Xenopus tropicalis: one gene and its partners. The protein of the gene in region 1 purifies or fractionates together with the protein of each later gene. This does not show direct contact. Links are inferred from orthologs where the notes say so. Each region holds a gene or a part of one and is shown in the gene's direction. Other genes may lie near its edges.

What was found.
Region 2: the proteins of vapb (region 1) and osbpl9 purify together in Homo sapiens (affinity purification with mass spectrometry; 7 studies listed by BioGRID and IntAct, counting the BioPlex papers as one, with this or other methods). This does not show direct contact. The link is inferred for Xenopus tropicalis from reciprocal best matches to the Homo sapiens genes VAPB and OSBPL9.
Region 3: the proteins of vapb (region 1) and aftph purify together in Homo sapiens (affinity purification with mass spectrometry; 3 studies listed by BioGRID and IntAct, counting the BioPlex papers as one, with this or other methods). This does not show direct contact. The link is inferred for Xenopus tropicalis from reciprocal best matches to the Homo sapiens genes VAPB and AFTPH.
Region 4: the proteins of vapb (region 1) and vps13a purify together in Homo sapiens (affinity purification with mass spectrometry; 3 studies listed by BioGRID and IntAct, counting the BioPlex papers as one, with this or other methods). This does not show direct contact. The link is inferred for Xenopus tropicalis from reciprocal best matches to the Homo sapiens genes VAPB and VPS13A.
Region 5: the proteins of vapb (region 1) and arhgef12 purify together in Homo sapiens (affinity purification with mass spectrometry; 3 studies listed by BioGRID and IntAct, counting the BioPlex papers as one, with this or other methods). This does not show direct contact. The link is inferred for Xenopus tropicalis from reciprocal best matches to the Homo sapiens genes VAPB and ARHGEF12.
Region 6: the proteins of vapb (region 1) and osbpl11 purify together in Homo sapiens (affinity purification with mass spectrometry; 4 studies listed by BioGRID and IntAct, counting the BioPlex papers as one, with this or other methods). This does not show direct contact. The link is inferred for Xenopus tropicalis from reciprocal best matches to the Homo sapiens genes VAPB and OSBPL11.
Region 7: the proteins of vapb (region 1) and wdr44 purify together in Homo sapiens (affinity purification with mass spectrometry; 4 studies listed by BioGRID and IntAct, counting the BioPlex papers as one, with this or other methods). This does not show direct contact. The link is inferred for Xenopus tropicalis from reciprocal best matches to the Homo sapiens genes VAPB and WDR44.

What each region holds. Positions count from the first base shown.
Region 1 is NC_030686.2:2,710,585-2,714,517, forward strand, and holds the start of vapb (vesicle-associated membrane protein-associated protein B/C), read left to right. Parts: upstream 1-1,133; 5' UTR 1,134-1,232; coding exon 1,233-1,290; intron 1,291-3,933. UniProt on the Homo sapiens protein: Endoplasmic reticulum (ER)-anchored protein that mediates the formation of contact sites between the ER and endosomes via interaction with FFAT motif-containing proteins such as STARD3 or WDR44.
Region 2 is NC_030680.2:96,347,303-96,351,490, forward strand, and holds the start of osbpl9 (oxysterol-binding protein-related protein 9), read left to right. Parts: upstream 1-1,388; coding exon 1,389-1,499; intron 1,500-4,188. UniProt on the Homo sapiens protein: Interacts with OSBPL11 to function as lipid transfer proteins.
Region 3 is NC_030681.2:32,370,400-32,374,478, reverse strand, and holds the start of aftph (aftiphilin), read left to right. Parts: upstream 1-1,279; 5' UTR 1,280-1,482; intron 1,483-4,079. UniProt on the Homo sapiens protein: Component of clathrin-coated vesicles.
Region 4 is NC_030677.2:132,297,208-132,300,707, forward strand, and holds part of vps13a (vacuolar protein sorting-associated protein 13A), read left to right. Parts: intron 1-689; coding exon 690-972; intron 973-2,071; coding exon 2,072-2,467; intron 2,468-3,500. UniProt on the Homo sapiens protein: Mediates the transfer of lipids between membranes at organelle contact sites. Binds phospholipids. Required for the formation or stabilization of ER-mitochondria contact sites which enable transfer of lipids between the ER and mitochondria.
Region 5 is NC_030683.2:78,817,228-78,820,283, reverse strand, and holds the end of arhgef12 (rho guanine nucleotide exchange factor 12), read left to right. Parts: intron 1-268; coding exon 269-338; intron 339-2,321; coding exon 2,322-2,353; 3' UTR 2,354-2,556; downstream 2,557-3,056. UniProt on the Homo sapiens protein: May play a role in the regulation of RhoA GTPase by guanine nucleotide-binding alpha-12 (GNA12) and alpha-13 (GNA13). Acts as guanine nucleotide exchange factor (GEF) for RhoA GTPase and may act as GTPase-activating protein (GAP) for GNA12 and GNA13.
Region 6 is NC_030685.2:89,894,435-89,898,582, reverse strand, and holds the start of osbpl11 (oxysterol-binding protein-related protein 11), read left to right. Parts: upstream 1-1,348; 5' UTR 1,349-1,578; coding exon 1,579-1,703; intron 1,704-4,148. UniProt on the Homo sapiens protein: Plays a role in regulating ADIPOQ and FABP4 levels in differentiating adipocytes and is also involved in regulation of adipocyte triglyceride storage. Weakly binds 25-hydroxycholesterol. Interacts with OSBPL9 to function as lipid transfer proteins.
Region 7 is NC_030684.2:67,117,381-67,121,489, forward strand, and holds the start of wdr44 (WD repeat-containing protein 44), read left to right. Parts: upstream 1-1,309; 5' UTR 1,310-2,296; coding exon 2,297-2,370; intron 2,371-4,109. UniProt on the Homo sapiens protein: Downstream effector for Rab11 which regulates Rab11 intracellular membrane trafficking functions such as endocytic recycling, intracellular ciliogenesis and protein export.

The sequences.
Region 1 (3,933 bases):
AGAGCGGTACGGGCGGTGAGAGAGAGCGGTACGGGCGGTGAGAGAGAGCGGTACGGGCGGTGAGAGAGAGCGGTACGGGCGGTGAGAGAGAGCGGTACGGGCGGTGAGAGAGAGCGGTACGGGCGGTGAGAGAGAGCGGTACCGGCGGTGGGAGAGAGCGGTACCGGCGGTGGGAGAGAGCGGTACCGGCGGTGAGAGAGAGCGGTACCGGCGGTGGGAGAGAGCGGTACCGGCGGTGGGAGAGAGCGGTACGGGCGGTGAGAGAGAGCGGTACCGGCGGCGGGAGAGAGCGGTACCGGCGGTGGGAGAGAGCGGTACGGGCGGTGAGAGAGAGCGGTACCGGAGGTGGGAGAGAGCGGTACCGGCGGTGGGAGAGAGCGGTACCGGCGGTGAGAGAGAGCGGTACCGGCGGTGGGAGAGAGCGGTACCGGCGGTGGGAGAGAGCGGTACCGGCGGCGGGAGAGAGCGGTACCGGCGGCGGGAGAGAGCGGTACCGGCGGCGGGAGAGAGCGGTACCGGCGGTGGGAGAGAGCGGTACCGGCGGCGGGAGAGAGCGGTACGGGCGGCGGGAGAGAGCGGTACCGGTGGGAGAGAGAGCGGTACCGGCGGTGAGAGAGAGCGGTACCGGTGGGAGAGAGAGCGGTACCGGCGGCGGGAGAGAGCGGTACCGGCGGTGGGAGAGAGCGGTACCGGCGGCGGGAGAGAGCGGTACGGGCGGCGGGAGAGAGCGGTACCGGTGGGAGAGAGAGCGGTACCGGCGGTGAGAGAGAGCGGTACCGGTGGGAGAGAGAGCGGTACCGGCGGCGGGAGAGAGCGGTACGGGCGGCGGGAGAGAGCGGTACCGGCGGCGGGAGAGAGCGGTACCGGCGGCGGGAGAGAGCGGTACCGGCAGGAGGGGCGGGACAACCCGGTACCAATAAGGGGAGATCCCGCGGGTTTATATTCCCGGATATCTATGTGACATTACACAGGGCGGATACGGGGTCCCGCACATACGCTGCCAGCGCTAACTTGCCCCTCCCCCCCAGGCGCCGCCATGTTGGCCCTTGAGCCCCAGTGCGCAGCCGCGGCCCCGCCCCCAGCCCTTGCGCCTGCGCGCCGCTCACCCCCGGGCCTTGCAGGGGCCGTGACGTCACAGCAGCCTCCGCCCTCCGCCGCTTTGCTGCATCACCCGCTCCTGCAGCCGCCACCGCCGCCGGGACAGGCCCGGACCCCCAGCCCACACGGGAGACATGGCCAAGGTGGAGCAGATCCTTCAGCTGGAGCCCCAGCATGAGCTCAAGTTCCGAGGTACCGGGGGCTCTGGGGCACTCACATTAATCCTGCAATGTACGGCTTGGGGGTACTGCTGGGATACAATCCTCTAATGTACGGCTTGGGGGTACTGCTGGGATACAATCCTCTAATGTACGGCTTGGGGGTACTGCTGGGCTACATGGGTTATAATCCTGTAATGTATGGGTTGGGGGTACTGCTGGGCTACAATCCTGTAATGTAGGGGTTGGGGGTACTGCTGGGATACAATCCTGTAATGTAGGGGTTGGGGGTACTACTGGGCTACATGGGTTATAATCCTGTAATGTATGGGTTGGGGGTACTGCTGGGCTACAATCCTGTAATGTAGGGGTTGGGGGTACTGCTGGGCTACAATCCTCTAATGTACGGCTTGGGGGTACTGCTGGGATACAATCCTCTAATGTACGGCTTGGGGGTACTGCTGGGATACAATCCTCTAATGTAGGGGTTGGGGGTACTGCTGGGCTACATGGGTTATAATCCTGTAATGTATGGGTTGGGGGTACTGCTGGGCTACAATCCTGTAATGTAGGGGTTGGGGGTACTGCTGGGATACAATCCTGTAATGTAGGGGTTGGGGGTACTACTGGGCTACATGGGTTATAATCCTGTAATGTATGGGTTGGGGGTACTGCTGGGCTACATGGGTTATAATCCTGTAATGTATGGGTTGGGGGTACTGCTGGGCTACAATCCTGTAATGTAGGGGTTGGGGGTACTGCTGGGCTACATGGGTTATAATCCTGTAATGTATGGGTTGGGGGTACTGCTGGGCTACAATCCTGTAATGTAGGGGTTGGGGGTACTGCTGGGCTACATGGGTTATAATCCTGTAATGTATGGGTTGGGGGTACTGCTGGGCTACATGGGTTATAATCCTGGAATGTATGGGTTGGGGGTACTACTGGGCTACATGGGTTATAATCCTGGAATGTAGGGGTTGGGGGTACTACTGGGCTACATGGGTTATAATCCTGGAATGTATGGGTTGGGGGTACTGCTAGGCTACATGGGTTATAATCCTGGAATGTATGGGTTGGGGGTACTACTGGGCTACATGGGTTATAATCCTGGAATGTAGGGGTTGGGGGTACTGCTGGGCTGCATGGGTTATAATCCTGGAATGTATGGGTTGGGGGTACTGCTAGGCTACATGGGTTATAATCCTGGAATGTATGGGTTGGGGGTACTACTGGGCTACATGGGTTATAATCCTGGAATGTAGGGGTTGGGGGTACTACTGGGCTACATGGGTTATAATCCTGGAATGTATGGGTTGGGGGTACTGCTAGGCTACATGGGTTATAATCCTGGAATGTATGGGTTGGGGGTACTACTGGGCTACATGGGTTATAATCCTGGAATGTAGGGGTTGGGGGTACTACTGGGCTACATGGGTTATAATCCTGGAATGTATGGGTTGGGGGTACTGCTGGGCTACATGGGTTATAATCCTGGAATGTATGGGTTGGGGGTACTGCTAGGCTACATGGGTTATAATCCTGGAATGTATGGGTTGGGGGTACTACTGGGCTACATGGGATATAATCCTGGAATGTACGGCTTGGGGGTACTGCTGGGCTGCATGAGTTGTAATCCTGGAATGGGGGATGCTGGGGTGCAGGGCCAGTGGGGGCCGCTGGGGTGCAGGGCCAGTGGGGGCCGCTGGGGTGCAGGGCCAGTGGGGGCCGCTGGGGGGCAGGGCCAGTGGGGGCCGCTGGAGGGCAGGGCCAGTGGGGGCCGCTGGGGGGCAGGGCCAGTGGGGGCCGCTGGGGGGCAGGGCCAGTGGGGGCCGCTGGGGGGCAGGGCCAGTGGGGGCCGCTGGGGGGCAGGGCCAGTGGGGGCCGCTGGGGGGCAGGGCCAGTGGGGGCCGCTGGGGGGCAGGGCCAGTGGGGGGTGCAGGGCCAGTGGGGGGCGCTGGGGTGCAGGGCCAGTGGGGGGCGCTGGGGTGCAGGGCCAGTGGGGGACGCTGGATTACAGGGCCAGTGGGGGACGCTGGGGTGCAGGGCCAGTGGGGGACGCTGGGGGGCAGGGCCAGTGGGGGGCGCTGGGGGGCAGGGCCAGTGGGGGACGCTGGGGTGCAGGGCCAGTGGGGGGCGCTGGGGTACATCCCATTTCAGAACCTGCCTGAGGGAGGTCTTGTAACCATGAGTGCAAGGGGTTGCTGGGATACAGGGCTGAAGGTAGGGGGTCCCTATTATAACTGTCAGTTTGGTATGTGGGTAAAGGGCAGAGAGCTCCCTGATAACAAAGAGGAGTAGTGCCCCCTAATTATATGGGGGTTCCCTGGGGCCCTGCTGTGCTCCCCAGTCCTGATCCATTTATGCCCCCGTAGTGCCAGTAGGGTGCAGGGTGCACAGCCCCGATGCTGTATCCAATATACAGGGGGTATATATAGGGTGTAATGGGGCGCATATACTGGGGGCAGTGATACATAAAGTCCTGTCTGTGCCCCCCTCCCATTGGCTGCATTCCTTCTGACTGCTGATTGGGCAGTGTTGGCACAGTGTGTGTGGGTAGGGGACCCTGCGCCCACTCTGTGCGTTAGTGACACTGGGGGCTCGGGGTGGGGTGGGGGGGGTATTCGGTACTTTGTAACGGTGAGGAAACCACCAAGGGAGGCCGGACAATTGTAGG
Region 2 (4,188 bases), on another chromosome or scaffold:
AGGATGCAGAGTGTAGGCATAGGGTGCATGTGTAGGGAAAGGCAGTGAGTGGATGCAAAGATGAATAGTGCAGATAAGTTATAGCTCATATAAACACTAGCTGAAGTGAGATCAGTGAGCAGATGTGCAGAATGCAGAGTATATATAGAATATGTCCACAGAGAAGATGATTTCAAAAAAGCTAGTGAGTGGATGCTATAATGTATATATAGTATAGACTATACCAAGGTGGGCACCAACATACAAACCGAGCAAACTGAGAGCCTGAATAGCAAAACGAAATGGAGGAGATATATTGAGAGTGATAAACTGAAGCACAGGGTGGAGAAATGTGGGGACATACACAAGATGAAGGCAGGATGGAGGAAACTCAATAGAGCGCAGAGAATGGAAGTTGTTATCCCTGGGCATACAGTGCCGGGAAGGTATGACACTGAGACGGGATGCAAACACAAGTTTTGGCTGAGCAGGGTACAAGCAACAGACTAATGCCCAATATATGTGCTATTCAATAGTTAGTTTACACGTGTGGTGACTGTGGGATTGCAAATTAAAGGGATAGGGTAAATGGATGTTATAGAAGTAGGTGCCCAGAAGATGCTGGGATACAGAATATACAGCAGAGTGTAGAATGAGGTGTAGAAGGATGAGATTAGTCACCTGTAGAAAGGACGCCAAAGATGAGACGCTCAGTGCCGGCAGCTTGTGCATATGCGAATCACAAATTACCCCTCAAACTGTGCCCAACACAGATGGCTCAGCCTGATTGGTCAGAAGAGCCCTGAGGCAGCCAACCAGCGCAGACCACGTGCTGGGAGGGGTCACAGGTGTGGGAAAGTGAGAGAGGCAAAGGGAGGTGGGGAGATCTGCAAGTGATTGTAATAATATATTCCCTGCACGATAAAAATCGACTTAATTATGCCAAAGTAATTAATGAGCAGCTTACAACTGAGGAAGCAGAATAGATAACAACGCTGGAAACAGGCATTTTGCAGATGAAATAAAACGTCTTTATTAAAAGCTTTTCAAACTGTTTTAATACCGGCGAATGTAAAAGTACATTTGACACGTCTTTGTAAAGCATGTTTGTTACTGTATGGGCGAACTTTATTCCACTTTTCCGCAGTTTCAGGCTATGGCTCTATTGCTAGCTCTGCGCATCCAGTCTACAAGCTTTTCTATTCCCACACAGGCAGGGCAACAGGCGATACTGAAGCTTTGCTCTGGCTCAGCATCTTCAGGTTGCTCCTAGTAACGCTCTGTACCACTCTCTGACGCACGCCGCCACGCCCTGAGTACTTCCCAGCCTTCTTCGCTCTAAGCCCCGCCCTATCCAGTGACGTTGACGCATGACTCCGAACGTCGTGTTGTTATTTCCCTGTTCCAAGATGGCATCTATCATGGAAGGACCTTTGAGCAAATGGACAAACGTGATGAAAGGCTGGCAGTACCGTTGGTTTGTGTTGGATTACAACGCCGGGCTGCTCTCCTATTATACGGTGAGAGCCGCTTTGCATGTTTCACGTGCTCTCTGGTGCTCCTCTCTAAATGTCTACCAGAAGATCTCGGGTGGGGACCGCGGAGCCGCCTAGCCGCAGCCAATCCATGGGCTAGTAACCTAACAACAGCCAATTGGTGCCCGCGCTATCGCTAGCGCTTCTCCAATGGCCGCGCACATCCGCGCTGGAACAGCTGTAGCCGCTGGCGTGTAGTTGTCATGTCTTACGTGCTTGATAGGATGTGAGAGAAAGCTCACACAGTGCCAGCAGAGGGGCTTTACACATCATACATCTTGTTAGCTTGCCATTTATAATGCTGATTTTGTTTGTATTAAACTTATTGATTGTGTGTTATAAGAAGTGTGACGTGGCTGTTTAACCAGAATGTTATATATTACAACAGTACATTTTAGAACCTGTTGTAATCCCTGTTTTTGTAGTTTGAAAGTGTAAATATTTCTTAAGAATGATCTTTTATTCGCAGTTTTATTGTTCATTAGAGTCAACAGTAGGAAAAGTAAGCTCATATGTGTAAAATGTGCCTTGTGTTCAGTAGAATTATCTATTGTCCTTTAGGATATAGCATGGATATATAAAGCAGCATGTTATAGCGATTGTTCAATATCAGTTCCTGACCGTGCACAGCTTACAATCTAATTCATCTATGGGGTATAATTAGCAGGGTTGGTTTTACCAGAAGAAACTTCATACATCTAATTCATGTGTTACAGTGCAACCTAGATTCTTTATATTTGTGAAACCTTAGTTTTTAAGTTTTCCCAAATTTTACATTGTTTTCCTGTAGTCCCACCAGTTTATAATGCATAATGCATTTCCGTGATTCATTTCTGGTCGCCTGAAAAATGTAAAATGGGGGTTCCAATCTGTGTGTGTGTGTGCACACACACACATGCACATCAGAGCCAGGAAATAAATGTCAATTGTCTGGCTGAAAGTTTTTGTTGGAGTAAAAAAACAGATGAATTGGAATCTTGATAGTTTACTTACAGTCGGTGCTGAGTGAGTTAATGCAATACAATAGACTGTCTGTCAACAGAATGACCCTGCTGTAATAGTCTGCTTGCATTTTATATGAAGAGCTCTTTCTGAATCAGGGATCATTACTGAAATAGTTTTAAGTGGTGCTGGAACATTATGATTACCATAATGCTTGTGCCTAAATATACAGTAAGCTTAAAATATGAAAAAACATTTTTGATTGTTTTAAAAGACTAAGGGCTCTGGCACATGGGGAGATTAGTCGCCCGTGACTAATCTCCCCGAACTACAATCCCTCCATAAAATTTCGGCAAATTGGCAAAAATGCCTCGCGAGGCAACTTTGGCGATTTGCCGAAATTGCATGCGCAGCGTGTGCCATCCCACCGGCAACTTACATTTTCGCTGGTGGGATGGTAGTTCGGGGAGATTAGTCGCCCGCGAACAGGGAGATTTGTCGCGGGCGACTAATCTCCCCGTGTGCCAGAGCCCTAAAAAGTCTCTTTCCCATGTATATTGGTTTAGATTACCATTTGCTATACAACTTTCTAGTTGTCTAAATAATTATTTAAATGACACCACCTGGTATGTGCCAGCTTACTTTCCAGCTTTTTCTTGTATGTTTCACCCTCAGAAGAAATTGGCCTCAAGGTTAAGTGATCAGCCTTTGATGTGGGATCTCATGGTTGACACCCTGGTAGATGCCCTGGGGCAACTCCTTGTGACCCTGAATGCCTATAATGGCTGCATTGTATACTGTTGTGTAAAAAAATTTTTAAGTCCCACTGGAGAAAAGTGCTATATAAATGTTTCCATTATCTATTTTTTTCATCCCACAGCCTGAGGCTATTGTGAAGGTACATGCGGGACTTTTTTTTTTTTTTTTTAAAGAAAAGTGAATTTACAAGTGTTCAGTTCCCATATATCAATACAGAAAGCATCTTATCTTTAAGCAAGGATAATTTCACTATGCCATAATTAGGTTAAAACCTGCAGACCCATTTTGACATTTTGTTAGTTTTTAAGTGGTAAAAAAAAAAGGTGGAAAAATGACATGATTGCCATTATCCTAAGAATATACTAGTCAATTATTCAGCACCTCTCTTGTTACTTTGTAATCATTAACTCATAGCTGTGCACTGCTTGGTTTCAGAAAGTAGCAATAAGTTAGATTTTTTACCTCCTAGGGATGCAATACAGTATAATATTTTACTTCAAGACTTAAAGTAAATACTCTAGCAGCACAGCCATGCAAACATAAGCAATTGCATATATATATATATATATATATATATATATATATATATAATCTGTATCATTATTGATCTACTTAATTGTGATTAATGACCCAAAATAAGTATACAAATTATAAGCAAACATGGTAAACATGCAGTACTAAAGGTGTTCATACACGAGCCAATTCTAGCTGCCGATATCGGTCCCTTAGACCAATTCGGCAGCTTATTGGCCCGTGTATGGGCACTAATGACGGGCCTGCCCAACCAACATCTGGCCTGAAATCGGCCAGATCTCGATCGGGCAGGTTTGAAAATTAGTCTGATCAGGGACCACATGGGCTCGTTGATGTGGTCCCTGAACTGATGGACGCCTATACCCATCGTTCTAATTTCATTGTTTAACCTCAGGGCCAAATGACCAAATTAGCCTGATATCGCCCACCCTTAGGTGGG
Region 3 (4,079 bases), on another chromosome or scaffold:
TTCGGATCGGCTTATACTCGAGTATATACGGTAATAGTCCAAATGTAAGCAATTTTGAACTACTTTTTAATGTTTTGGCTGTTTAGGTCGCTGAGCCCATTAAATAAAAAAGAAAAATGGACTGAAACCAGCGTTGTATTTCTTTCTTTTCCCTGCAGTCCCTCCATTATTTCTGTTCCATTGTAACTACATAGTTACTACATCATTGCTTGGGTAATAAGCTCTAGCAACCAGCAGTTTTTAATTTCAAGACCAAGCGATGCAGAACAAACACAAATGTAAAGGATGAAGACCAAATCAATGCTAAGTAACTTGTCCCAGAACACTGCAATAAAGGGTGAAGTGCCATTTATCTCAAGGTTGGCCTGCTTGCCAGACAGCCCTAACACATACTCAGGGGTCACACAGTTAACTAAGGGCCACGGCCAGCCCTGCTTGCTCTGCTACATTTAGCCTGGAATCAAGTGTGTATGTAATAATATGATACGCAGTGGGAAGTACAGAGAGCAATTCAGGTTGGACAGACACCACCGGGCAAGTTGTCGGTAACCGAGATGTTTAACCTGTAGCTGGGCTACAACCCGCCTCCTCCAACATCCCGGAAGTTGCCGCTTAATGACAACCGGTACTTATGAACTGAATGAGAAATTAGCCCTCACCGCATCGTAACTACTCTCCAGGCCGCTCCGCAAACACAGCTTCCGAACCAACTCCATTACCAGTTCCAGCGTCTCCACTCTCCAGCCTTCGCCATCACAGCTGCTTAGGGATGACGACACTTCCGGTGCAAGGCCGGAATGCCAATACACGCACAGGAAGTGACGTCAAAGAATGACTAGCATGCGTCACCTTTGTACACATTTATCGCGTGTAAGCGGCTTATGTCACGTCACCCAGCCTGCTGTACATTATACAGGCCGCAGCTGCTCTATGTGGCCTAACTCACAAGGGCTTTTATAGTGTAATAGGTCGTATGTTTAACTACAAATTGCTGCGGCAGTATGAATATCGGGGCACGGTGGGACTTGTAGTCCAGCAACTAGCAGCTTCACAGAAAGTATGAACTACATTGAATGTGAAGTCTGCTTCCTAATTACATTGGTAGATTGTGCCCGTTCCGATTTTGACGTACTGACCCTAGAGGAGGTTACGTATAACCTGGCACACACATTCTAACGATCGGAATTGACAGTGAGCTTTTCCGCCCTCATTTGCGGTGCACTTCCGCTGCCGCTTGCGCAGAGCTTTCTTACTCCTCTCGCTGCTGGCCGCGGTGTGAGTCGGGAAGGCGGATCCAGGGAGGGGGAGGAGGTTACAGTGTTTATGTGTATCTCGGTGCTTCCTCAAACCGGTATAACCTGGGGGATCCCGCCCTGAAGGGGTCTCACACGCACGGTGACATTACCTGAGCAGCTGGCGGCTGAGCTGGGACCGGCCATGAGCTGCACCGCCGAGCTCTGCGGCCCCGGGGAAGGCGACATGGTAAGTGGGAGGCGGTGTGACGTGGGGGATTGGCGAGTCCAGCGGAGACTGTCAACCTGTTGCTCACCAGCTGTTTAATGACTACAACTCCCAGCAGCCCCTCGTAGCTATCACAGAAGTAATACAGGTGTAGTACAATAGCAGTTAGAGCTAGCTTGTCAGACTTCGCTATACAGTGACAGGTGCTTACAGAAAGCTAGAGTGACCATGGCACCTCCAGCCTGAGGCCCTGCAACACCCCAGGGGTGGGACCCAGGTAACATGCAGCACTTCTAGCGAGAGCTGGCCTCACTGGCAATGTTACACCCTTATTGTATATTGGCTTGTGTTTGCTCAGCAAATGTCAAGTTGGCTTTGATATTGTCTGATTCCCCAGAACAAATACATTGACCTCCATTGTAAAGGTATGGGACCTGTTATCCAGAATGTTTGGGACCTGGAGTTTACCAGATAAGGGCTCTTTCCCTAATATGGATCATCATATTTTAGTCTAAAGTCCTCTAACAGGGATTAATTATATCTTAGTTATGATCAAGCATGAGCTTTTGTCTTATTATTACAGAGGAAAAGGAAATCATTTTTAAAAATATTTGATTAAAATGGAGTCTAGGGAGACAGCCTTTCCTCTGTAATTCTACGCTTCCTGGATAACAGATTTTCCAATAACGAATCGCAAACCTGCAGGGTAAGCCATATTTCTGTATATAGTGCATTTTTCAGCGTCCTTTCTTTTCTTCATACACTTATATGTACTGGCATGAATGTACATTTTTATATATATTTTGTATATGAAATGTTTGGGGGTCAGAGAAATTAGATAATTAGTAACAAAGAATCTGGATGTGCTGCTCTTTAATTATTAGTAATCTGATATGAAAATGGAATGCATTGTGAGCTGGAATTCTACTGCTCAGCTGTACCAACTGTATAATACTGAGGCTAAATGCTAATAATGTAGATTGAATGCTTATATTATAATGGATTGTTATCACATTCTTCCATATACATATCGTGAAACATATAGAGGGGAGGTTGTTTGACATGCTTAGTGACCATATTGCTTTTTGGGACAAGTTCAACAGCACAATATACACTTAGAAGTGGTTATTTTGGCATGAGAGACTTTATTATTTACATTTGTATGTTATTCCCATTGACAGGGTGGCTGCCATTGCATATCATTTGTATTGACACTTATTTATATTACACCAACATATTACACGGTGCTGTACTACAAATGGGCGTATATTAAATGTTGCCGTTAATTTAGTACGCCCACTGGATCTGATTTGTTGGCATACAGCAAATTCAGACACATTTTAGCACTTCTTGCAGGATTGGGATTTGGCAGAATCCTTAGTTCTTATCCCAACCAAATTCTAATTATTGAAGTCATGTGACTTTTAGGCAATGGGCAACTTTTTTTTGAAGATTTCACAGTATATACAGAGGATCAGGTTTGTTGAAAAGATTCACAGCATAGTTTTGTAAAATAAACCGGTGGTTGATAACCAATTTTTGTGTTCTGAGTCTCTTTATTGATGAAGTGCTTATGGGTAGGCTGGATTCTTTCCTTTTTGGATTCTGAAAGGTTTTTTTTTTTTTTTACTGATCATATTGTCCTCACACTTGAATGTGCAAATTAGAGTGTAGATTTGGATTAGTATTTAGCCAAGTACTTGGTGTAGGATTCTACATTTGGTGCATGTTTGGGTGTAGGATTCTACATTTGGTGCATGTTTGGTTGTGATTATATAAGTGTATGTTCTGATTTGGAATATTTCTGATCTGTATATTCTGCATATGCTACTGTATATACTCGAGTATAAGCCGAGTTTTTCAGCACCAAAAATGTGTTGAAAAAGTCACCCTCGGCTTATACTCGAGTATATGGATTTAAAGATGTCACTCGCACCCCCCATGCTCCTGTGCCCACGTGTGAGCGCTAGCACAATTTCATTGGAATGGAAGCGCATACAGCGCTACTATTATGGGAGCGGACACAATTCATGCTGTGGGCTTCATTCAGGGACGGCTACATTCATGTGCTGGGGAGCACACACAACATGGCTTCATAGGATGTGAGTGGTCACTGCACAAATGCGATTGATGGCTTTTCCATGGCTGCATAAGGCCCCTGTGAACCTGCACAAACTGTAAGTCTACCAAACAAGTCCAGTTGCTTTAAATTTATTTATACTAGATGTAAGTCTACCCTGATGCACTCTCACAAATAGAATCTTTGCTGTCAGTTGTGCTGGGAGACATGCTGCAATGCAATGGGAGGGCACACAGCAGGATGACAAGTACTTGATACTTAGTATGGCAGCTTCCTTAGCCTTCCCAAACTTGCCTGACAGTTAAAAAAAAAACTTAGCAGTAGCCGCTGCATTTCCCACCCATGGCCCTCTAATCTATACCTGGCTTGCTTGTTGCAGGTGCCTAGGTGTGTATCCTTAGTCTAAGTACTGTGACGTTATTTAAATACTACATCCATTGTACTGGTTAGCAGTTTGCCAAGAACTGTATAATGTAATCCCTAACTTCCTCCAAACATACTCTGTATGTCTAATATCTTGCCCCCTGGCATTTAATAG
Region 4 (3,500 bases), on another chromosome or scaffold:
GGATTCAAATTAATTCTTTCGTGGGGCCAGCAACATCTTGTTACACCACTGCATACACACACAGCTTGCATGTACATAAAATTGGTCAAACGCTTGATGTCGACCTTGCTGCCTAATCATCTGTGCATATATAGCTGTGTCAACAGATGGTTAGATCTGCTGGATTTATTTGGCCCTTCATGGATTAATGGCCTGGTTGCCACCTGCACAGCCACCTGAGGCTTTTTAATCTTTACAGTCCTTTCCAAAAAAGCAGTGCAGCAAATGTAAAGATGTCCTTTTTTTCAAAACCATCAAATATTTGAAACAACTGCTTACATTTTGCAGTAGGTTGCTATGCTGGTGCAATATTTTAAGTATGTAAGTTACCCCTAGGTGTAAATATTTAAGCTGCCTGTTTTGCTTTAGTTTGAGTCAATAATCAGAAAGTACATTTTTGTTAAACCGGTAGCATGCTGCGTTCCTCACTTGAAAAAAGTCACTTCTTGCTTTGCTGAGAAATTACTTACTGGTACGTTTCATGGTAATATTTATCACTATATTGTACTGTCTTTAATGACTTTTTAGTAACTGCCAAATTGTTTTGAAAAGCATTTGAAAATGTTATGTTTAATAAAACACAATCTCATCTATATACAAATTTAAAATGTGTTTGTGCTATAATAATATTTTCTGTGTTGATCGAGCAGATCGGTGTTGTGCTTTAAGCCAGTGCAAGAAAAAAAATATGAAATGAGTGAAGGTGTTAGCTTTGAAGACGTCATTAAAAATGATGGCCTGCTGCTGAATATGAAGTGCCAGTCTGCTACATCTAAAAAGGATTCCCTCAAGCTAAACATTGTGCCTGTAAAGGACATTGTCATGTCATCTGATCACACCAATGAAGGGTGGCATTTGCCATATGTTGTTCATTTATGGCCAACTGTAGTTCTTCGTAACTTGCTGCCTTATCAGATTAAGTTCTCATTGCAGGTAAATTGCAACTTTGCAGAATAATCTTTGGCTAGTTTGAAAAAACCTTTTGAAAATCACAGTATGCATATCATGTATACAATAACCATGACAATTTTCATTCTAAAATTGAGTTCAAAGAGCAGCACCTCGCTATGTATGCAGTGCTGCCTGTGTTCTGAGGAATTGCATTTTGAAGGGGCCGGTGGTAAGCATCCCTTGAAATGTCACTGCAGTAGGCATCCTAGGGAGTCTCAGGGGCGACAAGGTGCAAGAGTACCCTGTATTTACTGTGAGCATGTAGCATACCTTGTATCATTTGTCTTATTTTTAAACCATTCACAGTGTAGTGTGCAAAGACCATTGCCCCAGCTACAAGTGCTATATGCATGGAACCTAAAGGGTTCAATAAATAGTAATTGTATTGTAAATGGAACCAAGAAAATTTGGTTTTTATTTTATATTTTGACCACATTGTTTCTGGCTCACTTTCTCCTCACACCTGATCTGGTTGGCAGAAGTGGTTTCTTAGTTACCCCTGAGCTCTGGGCCCATTCTGCTCATTCTTGACTTCTGCTGAGGTTAGTAGCTATAGGTTTTTTTTGTAGGTTGCTGCTAGTTGTGTGCACTTGGCCCTTCTTTACGACTGAAGAAATTGTAAATCCACTATGTGATTTTGGCTTATGTAATTAAGCCCAACACAGCCTGCTGTTGTCTGCCATACATACTGTTGACCAGTGATCCCCAACCAGTGGCTCCTGAGCAACATGTTGCTCCCCAACCCCTTGGATGTTGCTCTCAGTGCCCCCAAACCAGGGAGTTATTTCTAAATTCCTGACTTGGGGGCAAGTTTTGGTTGGATAAAAACCAGACATACTGCCAAACAGAACCTTCTGTAGGCTTCTAGTCCATATAGAGGCTACCAAATAGCCAATAACAGCCCTTATTTGGCACCCACAGGAACATGTTTTATGCTTGTGTTGCTCCCCAAATCTTTTTACATTTGAATGTGGCTCACAAGTAAAAAAAGGTTGGGGATCCCTGCTGTTGACCAATACACAGAAACACGTTTTATCCTTTGTAAGATTTACAAAAACATTAATTTGCTTTTCTCTCCTAGGGTGTTGATGTTGATGCAACTTTAGTAGATGATGGCTGCAGTACCCAGATTCATAATGCAGCCTTAGACAACACCAAGTTGAAGTTACAATTGCTGAATTATACTGACCAGGGCTGGACAGCAGAATACCATATCCAAAGCAAGCAACAGGACATCCACTTTATAAACTTCCGCTGTGTAGCAGAACTAGACAAGTCAGAACTGGATATTGCTGTCCATGTGACATACACTACAGGTCAAACAATTATTGCCTTACATAGTCCATATTGGATGGTAAATAAAACTGGGAGGATGCTGCAGTACAAAGCTGATGACATTCACAGAAAACATCCAGCTGATCACAAAAAACCACTGCTTTTTTCATTTAAGCCAAAGAACTTTTTACAGAATAACAAGGTATGGGACATTCTTTATATTAAAAATATGGAATTCACTTAGGGAAGTGGTGCACAGGGAGATTAGTCCCCTGTGGTTAAATCTCGGCTACCACAGGCGACTAATCTATAAATGCCTTCCCAACGGCAATAAAGTGAATCACTGATGGGATGGCATAAGTTCTCCAAAGACATATTCATCTGACAGCTGCAATAAATACAGTTAACTTCACTAAACAAGATCCAAGCAAGACTAGTACTAGTTACTAAACATAAAGCAAGGGGCAGAACTGACCATATTCTGAGCCATAACACATCAGTAGAAGTGGAAAAAAGAAAAATGCTGTTTTTATCAACATTTAAGAGACTTATGGATGAATCAGATGTAGACAGACAGATAGGGGCTTTGTGCTGCTCCTGCCAGGAGGCAAGAAGCGGCCAGTTACCAGGGTTTGCTCCCACCCCGCCCCAACACCACCCCCCCCCCCAACCCCCTGGGGGCGATGGCAGACTCAGAATCGGCACTGTTTGTACTTTGTTACTGATGTCTTTGAATAGGTCTTTCTGACATACTCCAAGCATTTAGTTGTGTGTTCTGTTACTCATCTGCAAACATTGTAGCACTAAATAATTTGTGTTAATTCAGGTTGGCAGTACAGTGTCTCATTGCTGGAAAAAGTGTTTTAAATGAAAATAGCACCTGTGACTGTGCACATAGGAGATTGGTGTACAGACTTTCAGTGATGTTGTTTAAAAGCTGCATGAAAGCTATGTATCTGGCTTGACTCCAATTTATGGCAGGACCGCTCATTTCTAAAAGGAAATAATTGGACATAGTAACTGAGTAGGCCATTGACCCAGCCATGTCTTTCTGGGATTGTTTCCTATGTTTCATTTTAATTATTAACATATTCCCACGTAGTGTGTTCGGACATAAGTTGTTAAGTCTTTAACCTGAAAAATAGCTACCATATATGCCTGTATAGGAAGATATGCATATTATTTCTAATCTAAGGTTGTCTACACAGTGGTAAGTACTGCTATCTCGCAACACT
Region 5 (3,056 bases), on another chromosome or scaffold:
TTTATGTTACAATCAATTTATGCCAATTGAAATATCATTCTGTATTTTCTTCTGGTTTTGGAAGGTATCTTCACTGGAATTAACCATGAACTGATGAAAAGCATTTTTTATAAAAAAAAAAAAAAAAAAATCCTTTGTTCCAGTTTTCCAGTGTGCAAAACTATTCATGAGGTTATGATTCATATTAAAATATGAAATCTCTATTTTTTATGTTTATCTCATTAAATCTAGTATATTTGTTTATTTTTTGTTATGTGTCTGTTTGCAGGGGCTTGAAGAGTTTTATAACACATATCGAAACAGAGTGGCTACTTCAGGGGTCTTGGAGGAAGATCCAGGTATACGCCAACAGTTTTTTATTGCCTTCTCGGATTTTAGCATGCACACAATTAGCAAGTGTCTTCTCTGATGAAGCATTGTTAATCTTCTGTAGATTAGATGCTCCTATATTCCCCGGGCAGTTTAAGGCATGCAGACCGGAAGATTACAATTACATCCATGAATCGGGCTCTGCTTGCTTTGCATTTATGTGCTGCATGTATGAGCTTTACCTATCAGCTTGAATTCCAGCTCTCTTCTATTTTCTTTTTACTGATGATCCTGTTCAGTCCTCTCATCTTTTATTACAACTGGCCTAATCTCATCATTGTATTAGCACTAGCACAGTATAAAGTAATAGACATATTTTCTCTGGATTGCAGGGCAGTTTTTTTAGTTCAATTATAGTACGGAACAGTGACTAATGTGTGTTCCCTTTATTATGTAAGCTAATTTCAGGCATGATTAAGCAATTAAAAATCTCTGTGTGGGTTGTCTGTTAGCAGTAAATTAAGAAATTAAACATTAAAAAAGTTACTCCTTCAGCAATAGATTATATTAAAAGGGTTGTTGATTCTAAGTCTGTTCCAAATCCAATCAAAACAGACAAGACAGTGAAATTATGGATCCTCTTGTGGTATTGAGTCTTGTGCTCAGAAAGGAAGATAGCAGAGGAAAATACCATATTGGGTATTCTAAGTACAAACACTGCACTATAAAAACAAAGCCAATCACTTACCCTCTGTATGCTCCCAGGTGAATTGTATTACAAAGCTTTTAATACAAGGTTTTGTGCTAATGGTTGACCTTTATATTTTAAAGTGTAGCTGAACACAGCAAAGTCCAGGGCACTCAGGATATTTTTCTTTTATCAAAAAGATAGTTCAGACTAGGGTTGAACTGGGCCGGGAAAAAACTCAGCGGGCCCCGCCAACCAAGGCCCTGGCAGGTGGAGGCCGGCTGACTTTACATCTGGGGGGGGGGACCATGGGGTTACAGCCCTAGCAGGCCCTGGACACCCAGTCTGATAGTGGTACAGACTGATGTTTTGGGATCACAGAGTACCCCTTTCTCAAAGACCAAATGATTCGCACATAAAAAATTCACCACCACCAAACCACATGCTGGATAGCAAAATCTTTAACCCATTCAAGACCATTATCAACGATCCTCCAGAAAGCAGCCAAAGGATTTAGAAGTATTAAGAGTGTAAATCCAAAAGCACTCTTTCTGTAGTAACTGCCATTACCTGTATTGTCATTGTGAAGCCTGCAAATAAGGGTGAGGGCATTGATGTTCTAAACTACTGTCATTACAGGAAAAGGATGTTGGAGTTATTAGTAGATTGTTCATCTATCATTTACTGGGGCTTTTTTAAACAGTGGGCAAATTTGCACCTTGGCAGTAACCCATAGCAACCAATCAGTGATTAGCTTTTTTTAAAGGAGCTGCAAGTAGAACAGTAAAATCAAATATCTGATTGGTTGCCTAACTTCCCAGGTTCAGGTTTGTCCGGTGTTTATAAATGACCCCAATTGTCTTTTAACCCTGTTTCTAAATTTAAGAAAGAGATTAAGAATCTGGTCCATTGTGAATTTCAACTGGTTGGGTGATGGAGGGTGAAAAAGATTTTCTATTGATTTGTGTGATGCTGTGATTTACAGTCTACCTAAAGTCCATAAAAGTCTGATTAACCCACCACCCCAACCAACTGTTCATTTTGTGTTTGACATTGAGAAATGGGTACTATGTGACCCTGAAACGTCAGTCTGTACTGCATTTTTGATACAAAGAAGAAGAAAAATATCCTGAGTGCCCTGGATTTTGCTGTATTCAGTTGAATTTGGAAAGTGGCGATTTTCCTTAAGTGATTACCAGGTGGATATGATTTGTTGAGTGTCGTGTAATACCTCATTTGTGAACTTTACATTAGTTTTACATTAACACCATTGTGTTGAATTACAAGAATATCCTAATGCTGTATTTGGTTTTTTTATCCGTAGATAAGGCAATGCTTCCTACAGATAAGGGTTAAATCCAGAGATTATTCGACTTGGTCCATGGAATCACAGCAGATTTTAAGGGATCTCTGCCTGCAGTTCCTTACCCTACTTTGGGAACACACGCATGTGCACAGTCTGCTGCCAACACACTCCAGCCTCCCCAACTCATGATCCACATTAAGATACCAAATGTACAGATATGTGGTGATAGGATATAAAAGTATTTAGCAATTTCTACAAGAAGTGAAGAAAAAACTGAGAGATGTATTTATTTGTCTTTGAGTTAAGGCACATTGTTTTCTTGCTTTTTTTATTGTTATATATTTTCAACCTGTTATTGTTCGTTACATGGGTGAGTTCATGGCAAACCCATCTGTACTGCAGTCAAGCAGCAGAGGGAGTTTGGTAGGTGCATTTAGCATAATCACATCTTTTTACAATCAGTCTTTCGAGGCTGTTGATCATGCATGTTCAGTGTGATATTGCCCTTAAAGGGCACACCCATGCTTCTTTCCCATATATAAGGGGAAAAGTCATGCCAGTTACACCAAATAGACGAGTGTCATTACATTAGTAGTTAAGATGCTGCTGCTTGTCCTCCAGAACACTAGCATAGGTTGCCAAAACACTACTGAGCTAGCCATGCCCTTTTTGAGACAGGCACAGGCACCACAAATGATGAGGGCCAGTAATAAAGTTGCCTGGTGGCCTGCCTCCGTATTTGCACTGACAGTG
Region 6 (4,148 bases), on another chromosome or scaffold:
CATCCAGCCATCGGGAGCCGTCACGCACGCCGCGTCGCATGTCAAGTGGGGGGGGGGGGTGCTTGCGCAACAGCTCCCGATGGCTGGATGTGACGGCTGGCCAGTGCATGCCCATGGCTGGGGAAGGCTGGATGCGACGGATGGACGGTATAAACCTGATGGCTGGATGTAACGGATGGACGGTATAAACCTGATGGCTGGATGCGACGGCTGCCCAGTGTGCGCCCAATGGCTGGAGATGGCTGGGAAGGCTGGATGAGACGGATGGCCAGTATAAATCTGATGGCTGGATGCGACGGCTGGCCGGTGCGTGCCCGATGCCTGGAGAGGATGAATTGCCCGGTTGGATAGGTATTTTGGTACTTGCCTCGAGTATAAGCCGAGGGTTCCTTTTTTAGCACATTTTGAGTGCTGGAAAACTCGGCTTATACTCGAGTATATACGGTACTTGATTACATGTAAATGTGGAGCTCAATATATAGGAAAAATGATCTGAAAAGTATGTGAACGTATCTTGGAACATCTGTCGGCCATTGGGAGAGGGGATGTTAAATCGGCTATAGCTAAACATTGTATTGAGAAACATGAGGGTAATATGGACTTTCATTTTCAAATTATAGATACATGTGGCCTCAATATAAGGAAAGGTGATTTTGAGAATAGATTATTACGTAGGGAAGCATTTTGGATTTATCAGTTGGGTACTATAGAGACATTGGGAGGTATGAACAGAGAGTGGGAATTAACCTGTTTCTATTGATATTTGGCTACATACGTGTGGCTTTAGAATATTGATATTATTGATATTATTTATGTTTCTCCCCTATTGCCGTTTATATCTAGTATTTCCCAATGGCTGAGAGATGTTTGATACGTCCCAAGTAATACTGTGATGTTTTGCAATTCTTATTGTTGCTTTTAACTAATATATATTGGTTAATAGATGCGTTGTAAGGGTTAACTGATTGTGGGAGGAGCCTTAAGGCCTTTCCAGAAGGAAAATACCACGAAACGCGTCAAGTGTATGGTCTTTTTCTGTATAAGCACAACATGCTTTTTTAAAAAGATTGGATAAAGAAAGATTTTTATGAAAACAAGTGTTGGCGTTGCTCCGCACAAAGTTTTGTTTTGCATAACCGGGTAAATACAAGTAGGAGCCGCCCCACTGTTGCTAAGCAACAACATACAGGCGTGTGACGCTATACGCTGGGCGTCGGCGTGCCCCTCCCACATGCGGTTACGTGCTTACGTCAGCGCGCCGAGCCGTCGCTGTGACCGTAATCTCGCGAGATGAGCCCAGTGAGGCGGGGCTGGCGCACCGGCAGGGGCGGAGGGGAGAGACGTATAACCGGCTGGACATTCACACCGCGGCCCGGGAGTATGAGACGCGGAGCGGGAGGGCCGCAATGCCCGGACTGACAGACCCCCACTAGCCGCCCCCATACCCCGCTCTCTGTAACCGGGGTGGCGCCCCCAGCGTACGGCTCAGAGACCCCCAGACCCCCCGTTACTGGGACCGGAGCCCATGAGCGCACCTGTGTGACGGACACTGAGTGACAGCGGCCGGGGGGCCCCAACATGCAGGGGGAAGTGCCCACCATGAAGGTGTCTGACAGCGAGAGCCGGCCCGACGCCTCCCCCAGCCCCCTCACTCACCGGCCCTCCAGCAGGGCAGCCGGGGGCAGCAAAGCCTGGCAGTACTGGTAATATGGGGGCTCCAGGGGGGGCTCTGTCAGCCCCATTTTATCCCACACTCCCTGCACTAACAGCCAGGCAGCTGGGGGTATTACTGGGGGTGGGTATAGCAGGTACCGGGGGTATTACTGGGGGTGGGTATAGCGGTACCGGGGGTATTACTGGGGGTGGGTATAGCGGGTACCGGGGGTATTACTGGGGGTGGGTATAGCGGGTACCGGGGGTATTACTGGGGGTGGGTATAGCGGGTACCGGGGGTATTACTGGGGGTGGTATAGCGGGTACCGGGGTATTACTGGGGTGGGTTATACCGGGGGTATTACTGGGGGTGGGTATTACTGGGGTGGGTATAGCAGGTACCGGGGGGTATTACTGGGGGTGGTTATAGCAGGTACCGGGTATTACTGGGGGTGGGTATAGCGGGTACCGGGGTATTACTGGGGGTGGGTATAGCGGGCACCGGGGGTATTACTGGGGGTGGGTATAGCGGGTACTGGGGTGGGTATAGGGGTACCGGGGGTATTACTGGGGGTGGGTATAGCGGGTACTGGGGGTATTACTGCGGGGGGGTATTACTGGGGTGGTATAGCGGGTACGGGGGTATTACTGGGGTGGGTATTACTGCGGGTACCGGGGTATTACTGGGGGTGGGTATAGCGGGTACCGGGGTTACTGGGGGTGGGTATAGCGGGTAGGTATTACTGGGGTGTATAGCGGGGTACGGGGTATTACTGGGGGGTATACGGGTGGGGTATTACTGGGGGTGGGTATAGCGGGTACCGGGGGTATTACTGGGGGTGGGTATAGCGGGCACCGGGGTATTACTTGGGGGGGTTATGCGGGCACCGGGGGTATTACTGGGGTGGGTATTAGCGGGCACCGGGGTATTACTGGGGGTGGGTATAGGGACCGGGGTATTACTGGGGGTGGATAGCGGGTACCGGGGGTATAGCGGGCACCGGCGGTATTACTGGGGGTGGGTATAGCGGGTACTGGGGGTATTACTGGGGGTGGGTATAGCAGGTACCGGGGTATTACTGGGAGTGGGTATAGCGGGTACTGGGGGTATTACTGGGGGTGGGTATTACTGGGGGTGGGTATAGCCATATGCTGTGCTGGAGGGCACTCCCACCTCCCTCAGTTAAGGGCTTGTACCTTGTATTGCTATTACCCCCCACAGTAGGAATGGAACTGCCCCTGGGGCAGGGGGAGCGGGGGGCCGGAAGAGAAGCAGCGTGAGGGCTCCCTGGTGCAGTAATTAACCCCCCGTGGGACAGGCTTTGTGATGCAACTCACTGCAACTTGCCCTGGGGCATTTCTATAGCAGCTCCCCTCCCATACACACTCCTGTGTAGCCCAGTCTGGCACAGTTATAGGGGGGGTGTTAGCTGGGGATTCTGGGAGCTGTAGTTCAGGTGTAGTGGGTGCAACACATCTGTGCATAGGGGCGTGGCCAGCCTGAGAATGGGAAATAGAGACAGTAGAGTCAGAATAGAGTCGGTTCTACAGACTGGCACAGGGGGCGGCATTGCTGCATCACTGCACGTGGGTAACTGGTTTGATTCCGGGCAGTGCCTGATGGTCCCGTGTGTGGGAGGGGAAGGGCTGGGGCACGTGGGTAATTAACCATTTCTTGTGCTAGTTAATAAGCTGCCGCCGTATCAGTGATAGGGAATAAGGATCAGCCGCTGAGCAGCTTATGGTGTATGTTTATTATGGGGTGAAAACAATATAATACAAACAGAATAACTGTGAGCTTGTCAGGGCTGGCCGGCAGATCCGTGTCCCGACTACCCCTCAGGCATATGTTTGATCAGGGCCTGAACATTAAAGGGGCTGTTCACCTATAGTATGATGTAGAGAGTGATGTTCCCAGACAACTTGCAATTGGTCTTCATTTTTCATTTGTAGTTCTTTTTTTAGTTATTGCACTTTTGTTTGTCCAGCAGCTCTCCCGTTTGGATTTTCAGTAGCTATCTGGTTGCTAGGATCTAAACTACCTTAGCAACCAGGCAGTGGTTTGAATGAGAGACAGGTATATGAATACGGGGCTGAATAGAAAGATAAGGAATAAGCAGTAACAATACAATTGTAGCCTCACAGAGCAATAGGGTTTGGCTGCTGGGGTCAGTGACCCCCATTTGAAAGGTGGAAAGAAGTCAGAAGGCAAATAATTCAAAAATGACTCAAAAAGAAATAATGAAGACCAATTGAAAAGTTGCTTAGAATAGGTCATTCTGTAAGTTATCTAAAAAGTGAACTTTCCCTTTAATGCCAAGTGTATTGTGGCCCCGGGAGCCGTAAGGGGCAGAGACTGTGCCCTTTGCTGTAATTCTGTTACTGTTTAACCGTCTCCTCGGCACCAGCGGGTGAGGCACGAGTTCCTCTCTCAATGATTGGCTTATTCTGCTGACAGGTTTGCTGCAGGAGTCTGAGTAAACAGGACAAATGCT
Region 7 (4,109 bases), on another chromosome or scaffold:
ACTGCACATTTGCCAAATTGCAATGTTCCTAGACTGTGCATGTTCCACCTCAACTTTGCACTGATCCCCCCAGACCACATTCCCCAATTATGCCTTCTGCTCTGGCTGATTCTGAGGATTTTGAGCATGACTTAATACTTAATAGCAGGGTAACCAAATGTTTAGGTGCAAGTTACCGATATGGGGTGACCAAGCTCTTACTGCAGGTTACTGTGTAAGGGTATTTAAATCAACACGACTCTCTGCCTTTTAGAATTAGTTGCTATGAATGGTAACTTTGGCTGGTGAGTTTTTTAGTAAAGAAGAGCACTGGCCCAGGATCCATGGTTAAGGATTATACTGTAATTACTGGGGTGGGGGTCCTTACATATTGCCCCCACCCCCATTGAATTGTCCTTGTCCTTTCAGACTTATGTAGTCTTTTTAAAAAATCTGAAAGGGTCTAAGATGTTTGTAAAGTTCAGGTTAGAGGACTATGTGACATAAGCAAACTCAAATTTCAGGCTACCGTCTCTCTTTGGCAAACTCACCCACCGTTAAATCACCAGCTAGGTCCAGCACCGGTATTACAAATTTACTTGCCAGTACATTTGTAATGACCTATAAATCAGTGGTCCCCAACCTTTTTTGCACCAAGTACCGCTTTCAAGCAAGACAATTTTTCCAAGGACTGGTGGGGGTGGACGTGCATTTCAGGCGCATAATAAAAAAAAAATAAACTAGTCAGTGCATAGTATATAATTATTACACATATAATGTAAATGGGATTATTTTATGCACTTTATTTCTGTTGCTATTATATTGTAATTATTATAATACAACTTACCATAATACAGAATCAGTGGCAGACCTGAGCTTGTTTCCCTGCAACTAGGCAGTCCCATCTTAGGGTGATGAAAGACAGTGACACCCAAAGTGTGTTCCTTATAGGCACTAGAATAAGCCACCAGAATGCTCTTATGAGCCCCATTATCATTTCCTACTTCACAGTGTCAGCCTTTAAGCTTGTCAGTAGCCATTCTGCCATGCCAGGGAACAGTGAGACTTGTTCTCTGCACAGTGGGCAAGTACAGCATCTGATGCGGCGCACACAACATTATACACGGCATTGTGAGTGCCATGTCATTTGCGTCATTTTTAACTCTCTTCCTTGACCCACTCCGCCGATCACCATGGGCCACCTTGCTTTGCTTATAACCCTACCCAGGCCTTACATTTACCTGCCCCCTTACATCATAGTCCCACCCCAAAATGACATCACAACCCAAAGGCTGGTATTACTGACAGAAAAAGGAGGCAACTCTACAGTCAATATATCATTTATTAGTTTCACACATACCCAGATTAAATCCTTCCATACTTCCTATATCTAGCCAGCATACAATATCTAGCTGAATATACTGCTGGCCAGGGGCGCTGTTGCCATGAGGTGAGAAACACACCTCAGGTGGCAGCAACCCATGTTACCAGGGATGGCAAAAAGCCACTCCTGGTAACTTTAAGAGTAAAAATTCCGATTTTAATATTGGAATTTCAGCTCTGCTAAATCAGAGAGCACTTGTTCTGCAACGCTGAGAATCATAAGTGTCTTGTGCAAAGGAAGGGGGCAGCATTTCTTTCTCCTGTTCGAAAAGCTTTACCTGTGTCTCCTCCTGCCTCTTAACTTTAGCCCGAGTAAATAAGGGTAGAGTGACCAGATCGCTTAAAAATTCAGCTAACAGGGTGAACGATTGCAGTTTATTTTAAATGCAATTAGTGCTGCCCTGCAACATGTATTTATTAGTCGTGTCACTTATTTTTCAAGTCATCTGGTCACTCTAAATTAGGGATCTGCGATCCCTAACGCTCCAATAGCTAGAGAAGTACAGCCCCTGCCTAGGGCGCCACACGGAGCGACTATTACCACCCAGGAGAAGGAGCAGCCGTCACACCTTATGCACAACAGACCGCTATCGCTACGAAGGACGTTGTCCCCATATGGAAACTCACTTCTGTAACTATACATGCCTTCCTTACTGGCTTAACTTACTCATCTGATTGAACGATCACTCTCCCATTGCCTCAGCGCTGTGATAGCCCCTCCCCACTCTCGCCCTGTCAGTGTGTAATCTCGCGAGACTGGCCTGTGTTTTTGTGAGTACGCTGGCCCTCCTATTCCCTTGCCTTGGCCTGTCAGCAGGAGCCTGTAGCCTGAATGCTGGGCCGGCCAGCGCCCCCGGGGAGCAGCGCCCAGTGAGGCCTCTCAGCCCAAACAGTACCAAGAGCAGGCCGGATCCAAACCGCCTGCCCCTATCTCATGGCGTCCGACAGCGACACGGAGGAATTTTTTGATGCCCCGGAGGATGTCAACCTATCCTGTTCTCCTGCGGTGTGAGTAGCGCCCTGTGCTCCCCGCACTACTTCCTATTCAGTCTGACGTGAATCTGTTAAACGCAATGAGCGGAACTGCGCGCTGACAGTTCCCCATTCTCCTACCTTTCTCTCCCCTCATAATCGACTGTCTCTTCTTTCTCATTCAACTTCTCCCAATCTTTCTGCCCCCATACTACAGCTCTTTTCTGTTAGCTTGTGTTTTCTGCCTTCCTCTGCCTTCTTTATACATGCAACTCTCCCCTCATTGCACGGAGACATTTGTTTTTCTCACAAGTTTCAATTCGTTTTAACGCTCTCTTGTTCCGTGTATGTTTATCCTCCTGAAACCTTTATCCTCAAGTATTCTACGTTTTTCTGTACTCATTCGACTCTTGCATTTTATTATAATCGCGTTGCCCGGCTTAGTGTTTTCGCTGCCCCCAGAACCTACATCTCTCTGCCCCCAAACTCGTGCGTTACTTGTCTCACCCATGTGTGTTTTCCTTACTCTCTTCTCAGGCTAATTTCTCTTATTCTACCCACCCCTCAGGCTCACTTCCCTAACTCTACCCACCCCTCAGACTCACTTCCCTAACTCTACCCACCCCTTGGGCTCACTTTCCTTACTCCAACCACCCCTCAGGCTCACTTTCCTAACTCTACCCACCCCTCAGGCTCACTTCTTTAACTCTACCCACCCCTCAGGCTCACTTCTTTAACTCTACCCACCCCTCAGGCTCACTTCTTTAACTCTACCCACCCCTCGGGCTCACTTACCTTACTCCAACCACCCCTCAGGCTCACTTTCCTAACTCTACCCACCCCTCAGGCTCACTTCTTTAACTCTACCCACACCTCAGGCTCACTTCTTTAACTCTACCCACCCCTCAGGCTCACTTCTTTAACTCTACCCACCCCTCAGGCTCACTTCTTTAACTCTACCCACCCCTCAGGCTCACTTCTTTAACTCTACCCACACCTCAGGCTCACTTCTTTAACTCTACCCACCCCTCAGGCTCACTTCTTTAACTCTACCCACCCCTCAGGCTCACTTCTTTAACTCTACCCACCCCTCAGGCTCACTTTCCTAACTCTACCCACCCCTCAGACTCACTTCCCTAACTCTACCCACCCCTCAGACTCACTTCCCTAACTCTACCCACCCCTCAGACTCACTTCCTTAACTCTACCCACCCCTCAGACTCACTTCCCTAACTCTACCCACCCCTCAGACTCACTTCCCTAACTCTACCCACCCCTCAGACTCACTTCCCTAACTCTACCCACCCCTCAGACTCCCTTCCCTAACTCTACCCACCCCTCAGACTCACTTCCCTAATTCTACCCACCCCTCAGACTCACTTCCCTAACTCTACCCACCCATCAGACTCACTTCCCTAACTCTACCCACCCATCAGACTCCCTTCCCTAACTCTACCCACCCCTCAGACTCCCTTCCCTAACTCTACCCACCCCTCAGACTCACTTCCCTAACTCTACCCACCCCTCAGACTCACTTCCCTAACTCTACCCACCCCTCAGGCTCACTTCCCTAACTCTACCCACCCCTCAGACTCACTTCCCTAACTCTACCCACCCCTCAGACTCACTTCCCTAACTCTACCCACCCCTTGGGCTCACTTTCCTTACTCCAACCACCCCTCAGGCTCACTTTCCTAACTCTACCCACCCCTCAGGCTCACTTCTTTAACTCTACCCACCCCTCAGGCTCACTTCTTTAACTCTACCCACCCCTC